Linked DNA regions of Drosophila melanogaster. The gene in region 2 interacts genetically with the main gene of each other region. Each region holds a gene or a part of one and is shown on either strand. Other genes may lie near its edges.

Region 1 (3,377 bases), on a different chromosome or scaffold from region 2:
ACGCCCGAAGGTCTGGCTAAGAGGAACTGGCTGCTCCAGCTGGACTTTGCCCAACAGAGCGGAAACGGAAGCGGTATTGGCATAGGAATTGGCAATGGTAATATGAGCGGAAATGGCAGCATTGTCGGCAGTACAGACAGTGCGAGCGGCAGTTCAAATGGGAGTTTATATTAGTGCAATTTACCTAAGTACTTTACGAATTTTGTATAGTTCCTTGTTTTATATTTTCTAAATCTGTAATCTGTAACAGCATCTGTTGCCACGTTGCCGACTTTTGTTTACCTCTCTCGTTTGGCGCATTATCTACTGCATACCATTACGACTACGACTATGTTCACGTTCGTTCCATCTGCGTTCCGTGCTTCATCTAGGGTTCTGTATAGTTAGCTTAGTTTCTTGCGGAAGTTCCGGTTCGGTGAATGATGCTATGTGATGTCTCAAATCTCTATTGTGGCCCAGTGCACTGCTCCTGGGGAGCGGCCTGCTTATTAAACGGGTCTGGCAACAAACAAAAAAGTAAAAAAAAAAAAAAGCGGCAGCTGACAAAAATGTGCGAAGTCGAAGAAGTACATCGGAAACAGATCAACAAAATTAAAATTTTAGTATTCGTATTTAAGCAAAAAAAAAAAAAACAAATTATACATAATTATATTTACAAATAAATGTGTAAGGAGTGGTCTTTACGTGTCGAAACCTTATGCAATGCACACTCTATATTTCACATTTCTTCGGACCAGTTGGGCCACTGCTGTATCAGAGCGTAGAGTGCTTCTCCAGGACTCTTGGTAGCACTGACTTGACGATGGCCCAGTAACTTATAGCCCTCCACCAGCTGAGCCTGTTTGACAGCCTGCTCCAGCAGCTCCTTGGCGGCATCCAAGGCCTCCTTGTTGGGCGCCCGTTCTTCGAAGTTACCAATAAACGCAATGCCCAGGGAACCATCGTTATTGGGACCGGCAAAGGCTCCTCTCTGGCTTGGACTTCTGCCTTCGTATACCTTGCCATTACCGCCGATCAGATAGTGGTAGCCAATGTCCGAGAACTTTTGCTTGGACATCTGGAAGTTTTGCAGATTTTGCATGTGCTGGGAGCATGTAACATCATCCGCACAAGCTCCTCCAGCTGTATGGGCGATCACAGCACGTGGCAAGGGAGTTTCCATGCTGTCTATGGCTCCGTTCGGCGGTTTGGCATTCCACTCGGCCCTCGTCACGATCGGTACTTCCCCCTGGACAGCGATTGCTGTGAGGCCAACGATGAGCAAACCGATCCAAGTCATTCCACTTGCGTGTCTGTCAACTGACTGGGTTGGGATCTTATGGGCTGCGGCACCTATTGCCGCTGATAAGGGGAGTGCCCCCAAGGAGATAGTCATCCGACCCCATATAAATGAATGTATCATACATATATGAGGGGGATTTTTCTTGCCAGTGATAGATAATTGACAGGGGGTAACGATTATAAGAACAACTAGCATAGCAATATATCGTTCTCTCAGAATTTTTCTAAATGGGTAAAATTTGCCAAGCGAAATTCCCCTAAAAACTACAAGGCCACCACAAGGGGGACATATATGTAATAAAAAGTGTAAAATGTACATAGAACTTAAATCACTTACCACGTTCTTGTGAATTATTAAATAAAAATTTGCTGCTTTAGATTATTTCATAGTTCTTACTTATTTTACACTAACACTCGCGAATCAGCAGATTGAGCATTTTTACAGCATGTTGATTTGATGTTTTTCTTTGGCGGGATGTAATATTAATTTTACCGGAACACTCGTATTTATTTAGTTATAATCCCAATCTGACACAAACTATAATTAAACCGCACTATTTTTACGCGTTTCAATAACTGATTTCTTTTAATGCGATCGAATTAAGCGTTGAATTGCGTGTAATATCGACAATAGAAAAGAAGCCGAAAAAGTGAGCATTCGCGCAAGTGCCGCTATTTCTAGCTTGTAAGCCTGCCTTCGAGCAAGAACTAACTGTAATCAATTGCCTCTCTGTAAACAAACGTAAGTGTTTGATGCGATCGAATTACTCGCCGAATTGTGAGTCATAACCAAAGAAAGAGCGTGCTTTCGCGCAAGTGCCGTTATTTCGTCTTGCTTTCTTTAATCGAATATATTTCGGTCTCTTCTTTTGCAGCAGTTCTGTTTTTTTAGTGTGCGCGGAAGTACGTTCTGTTTGTATACTATTACCTCCTTTACTTATTAAACTAACTTTAAACAGTTATTTTAATAGTTAGATTCTACACAACGGCAACGTAGAATGATTTTTTACATACATAGGTCAGCTTAAAACAATTGTGAAATACTACTTAATAGCGAATGAATGAATAAAGCAAAGCTTTGGTTTCGGTTATTATTATTTTTTTTTTTTTGTTTTTTCTTTATGTGTTTTGTGTGTGTTTGATATATACATGTACATACATATGTATGTACATGCATACATAAGTATGTATGTATAAAAATAGTGAAATGCTTATACAGGAAGCCTGTATTCTTAAAAGATAAATATGATTAATATGTATAAATACAGAGAAAGTAAGGTAAGTAAGTTTTAATTTTTTACCTAATTAAAATAATTGGTTTGAAAATAATTGTACGCATAATTTAGTGTGTTGTGTACACTAATGTACATGTACAACTTTATATTGCAATTTCAATCTGAACATCCACTATCTAATGGTACACTTTATACCGCGTATTTCCCTTAAATGTATTGAGGCCCCCCGATTTATCCCTATTTTATGCCAGTTAATACGAGCCCACAGAAACCTCAACTTGACACAGATGTTCTAGGCAGTGATTTAATTAAAAAACTTTTGCAATTAAATGCAAAAACTGCAAAAAACAAAGCGGAGTGCAGGCCATTAAGCCCCCAAAAAAGGGCGTGATGAGGAAGTGAAGTCGCAAAGTGACAACGAAAATGCAAGTAAGCGCCCTCAATTAAAAGCCAAAATGAATATAAAATGCGATGGAAAAGGGATGAGAGTTGAGGGGAGAGTGGTGGGGAGAGCTAAGCCGCAACATCCAGAAAACCCGAAAAAGCCGGGCTAAAACCAAAAACCGAAGCCAAAACTATGCGCGGCTGGAAAAACCAGCTGGTGGCGGGAAAAACTCGCCGTTAACTTGAATTTAAGTGAGTTCTGAGTTGGGAGCACCCCTCCGCAAATCGGCTCCCTCAAAAAATCCGTGTTGTTTGGTTATTCGAATTGTTTTTTTTTTATTAGTAGGAGTTTTCCAATGTCCTGCAGAGAAAAACATATTTTTTTCGCCACTTCCATAGTCTCAATTTAATCTGTCCCGCATTTGGATGCAATTTTTGGGGCGCCAAGTTGGCTCATTTGCAAAATTGTCAGATTTA
Region 2 (3,756 bases):
CAGCTCCTTGCTGACCTTCAGGTCGCGCTGGTCCGCCTCCATGGATCCGTTGGCTGGCGTGTGAAAGTTGAGACGCTCCTCCATCGCCTGCCGGCTAACGCGGCTCAGCTTCGCACCATTGCTGTTCGGATAGGAGGCGTTTATGGTCAACTCGATCTCGCAGAGCATATAGCGCGCGCTGACCAGCAGGTCGTGCAGCTCCTTGGTGACCGCCTCGTTGAGGCTCTTCTGCTGATCCTTGCGGAACTTGTACTGCGCCCGTCCCAGATATGAGAAGCTGCCCACGAAGGTCTGCATGTGGCGGTACCAAGTCTTTAGCTTCACCTGTAAATTGAGTAGAAGAGTGCTCGTCAGTGACTGTTGCATGTGGATGCTGCGCAGCTGGGAAGGGCATGCAAATGAGGCGGGCCGACTGGGAAACTGGTCTGCGCCGCCCAGGGCGGAGCAGGTCCGCTTCACTCTGTCTCACCGCCTCGGTTTGGATGGATCTCTTTGGCGCGGTCTGCATCGGTATCAACTTACCGCACTTGTGGGCCTCGTCATGTTCGGCAGGAACTTGTACTCGCGCTGCCAGTGCTGCAGATTGCCGTACTCCAGGGTGGCGCGGTGGGTTATATCTTGGTATTCGCTCATCGTGATGTTCCGCAAGTTTTCGAGGTGCTGCAAGTGGAGAGCGGGGGAAATCGATGAGTAATGCATATTGGCTGTGTGACAGAATTTCTCGAACGTTTCGGGTTCAACTAACTGCCTAAGTAGCTGTCCTGCTAAAGATGCTAACAGGACACACAACGCACAAAAGTATCTATGTATCTTAGTATCTATGAAGCTGCGTTGCGACTATGTAAATATAAACTGTTATCAAACAATGTAAGAAAAGCTTGGTGTAGGTTGCTTTCCTCCATTGCCCTTAAGTGCTGAAGCAAATCTAAGTGATAGCCAAGATTGAGGTAGGTCACCATCTCTCCCATTTAAATTTATATGTATAACATTTTGGATCCCCTGCTCACCTTGCGCTTGATAACTCGTCCTTGGCTGGCGCTGCTATCGCTGAGGCTCTCGTCGGGCGTGTAGGTGCCTCCGCACGGGTTCTCCCACTCCGGGATCTCTGATTTGCCGGAGAAGAGTCGCAGGTTGTGGCTGCGCGCGTGTCGCGTCCTCTGACGGCGCATCTCCCGCCTGGCAGCCCGGATGGCCGCCTGGGCGATCTCCTCGTAGCTACTCTCGCTGAGACTCATATCACTGTCGTAGCTGCCCTCGCCGAAGCTATCGGCCAGACCGCGATACGGATTGACATCGAAGGCGGGCAGGATGTCGCCACCCGATGATGAGGATGACGATGACGACGAGGAAGATCGGCCGGAGTTGTCCTCGTCGTAGGCGTAGTCCAGTGCCACCTGGTCGCGCAAGTGTCGCGCCTTGGTGAATGGCATCACGACGCTCAGGATCATGATCACTAGCAGCACCTGCCGGCTGTGGCAGCTCCAGCTGCTGTGTGCACTCCTGCTGCTGCGGCTGCTTTGGCTCTGTTGGCTGGCTGCAAGTGGTAGAGATGGTGGATGCGTTAGTGGATTGGCCATCGTATCAGTTTGCAATGGGTGGTGGGCGGTGGGGTGTGTGGTTTGGTGGAAATGCGGGCGTACCGTTTAAGGTAAAGGCTGGCATTGCGCCTATCACTAACACTACACTAACTGGGCTAACTTGGCTAACTTGGCTAACTGGCTAACTGACTGACTAGCTGGCTGGCCAACTATCACAATCGCTTGCTGCTGCTGCTGCTGCTGCTGATGCTGATCGCTCCACGGTCTCTCCCGCTCGACGGCTGATGGCTAAGTGACTGCGGCTGCAGCGGCGCTCGAAAATTTGTAAGCCTCCAGCCGCCTGGCGTCGCTCACGCATTCCCACTTCCACTCGACTCGGCTCGACTCATTCTCCGTGCCGATCTCCCAATCCCAATCGATCGCGTCTGCGAGTGCGAGCGAGAGCGCCCGAGTGAGCGAACGAGCGAGTGAGTGAGTGAGTGAGTGCAATTACAGCAGCCCGACCCGTTCGAGGCCTTGAGCAATTTTCTGATATGGTTTTCGAGCATTTGTCATGCTCTCAAAGTCAGTCGCACTGGACGGCCGTCTCTCGCTCTCTCGGCCGCCTTTTGGCTGAATTTCACCAGAAAGATTACTCATAGGTATTTGGGTTTTTTTTTCGGATTTCGGATTTCGATTTCGATTCACGACTTCCGACCCGATCCGACCCGACGCGACCATACCAGGCCAGACCAGACGCTACCCAGACGCTCTGCGCGTCGGCGTCGGAGTCTGCGGCCAACGGTGACGTAGCCAGCGTACCCACCCACCGCCCACCGCCCATAGCAGCGCGCTCGACCTTTGAATAATTCGTTTTGCCGCTCAGCAGACCGCTCGCTCCGCACCGACCAATAACAATCCAGCCAGCCGTTCGGCGTCTCTGTTGTCGTAGGTCAGCGACTTGATAACGACGCCGACTGAGCTGTCGGCGGTTCTGCGACTGCGATAAGGCACGTGCTGCTATAGTACTAGTTGTTGTTGTTGCTGTTGCTGTTGCTGTTGCTGCGGTTGGCCAAGTTGATCAGCTGGCCAAGGCCATAAACACTAATTGGTCGGTTATCGGGATATTGGAAAGTTCTGCTTGAACGCAATGCGATGATTAATGCTCTACGATCTTGGCCAACGAAAGTTGCTAGTGTTCTTATCATTCGAGGATGGAACTTGGTCATGCGAGGTATCTAGATAGTCGGGAAGAGGAAGGGCTTCAAGTTGACGAATCGATTGGCAAATGCCAACTGAATGGTGGGATTTCACTGCTACCATTTACAACTATCTACATATGATACATATTGTTGTATCAAAATTAAGCTGTTATTTTTATAAATTTGGTTTATAATTAACCTGTCTTTAATTGAGCCCCTTTTGGAGGTAACACCATCGCGCCTTCGCACATTCCACCTTGCCATTCACTAGCATTGGCATTAGCGTCGAAGCCGATTATTAACAGTTCGATCACTCGCCATCCGGCAAAGGGGATTCACCCCAGAAAGCCCAGAAAGCAAAAGGCACTAGTACACTAGCACACTGCCAAATAGGCAAACTGGCAAGCTGGCCAAGTTGAGCACACAGCATTAATCATGGGAACCGATCGAAGGTATTCCGTAATGGGCCAGTTAGCCAGCTAGCCAGCCAGTCAGCTAGCAAATCATCTTTTTATAAACAATTGCGAAATGAACGGGGAAAGTTATCTTCTAACTGGGAAAGCGGTGATCTAATTTCGCAGGGACTTTGCACCCAAACCGATCCATACTCACTGTGAAGTCGCATTTTTGGGACCGGATCACGTTCTATTTTGGCAACATCCATAATACTGCGTGTGTGTGTGTGGTGGCAATGCCAGTGATAACTGGAGTGAAGTGATCGGAGATCAGATCTGATCAGTTCAGTCAGATGGGCTATTATAATATTATAATATTATTCTATTTGTGTTCGTTCTAGTGCGGATTGGTAATTGTGTGTCGCGGGTGTTTCGGTATCTTTACTCCGATTGTTGGGCTGTGCTCACAACGCGGGACAATTAGCATTGGCGTGTGTCTAAGCGAAACTGATTCATGGTCTCGGGCCGTCGCATAATTTTATATTTATACGAAAATCGCCGGCGATTGCCGCCTGTGAGGCAGTCCCAGCAGCAGCAGCAGCAGCAGTCGCTGCCTCTGTCGGCGTTGCAGTCGGCGTTACC

The links. Genes that interact genetically often act in the same process or in processes that back each other up.
Region 1: of upd2 (region 2) and PGRP-SD, changing one suppresses a phenotype caused by changing the other (phenotypic suppression), as found in Drosophila melanogaster (one study listed by BioGRID).

The regions. Positions count from the first base shown.
Region 1 is NT_037436.4:7,649,107-7,652,483, reverse strand, and holds PGRP-SD (peptidoglycan recognition protein SD), read right to left. Parts: upstream 1,305-3,377; 5' UTR 1,280-1,304; coding exon 719-1,279; 3' UTR 584-718; downstream 1-583. Other genes in the region: CG7492 (uncharacterized protein), read left to right, coding at 1-174. UniProt on the Drosophila melanogaster protein: Peptidoglycan-recognition protein that plays a key role in innate immunity by binding to peptidoglycans (PGN) of Gram-positive bacteria and activating the Toll pathway. Has no activity against on Gram-negative bacteria and fungi.
Region 2 is NC_004354.4:18,241,558-18,245,313, forward strand, and holds the start of upd2 (unpaired 2), read right to left. Parts: upstream 1,728-3,756; 5' UTR 1,663-1,727; coding exon 1,641-1,662; intron 1,535-1,640; coding exon 1,008-1,534; intron 661-1,007; coding exon 523-660; intron 325-522; coding exon 1-324.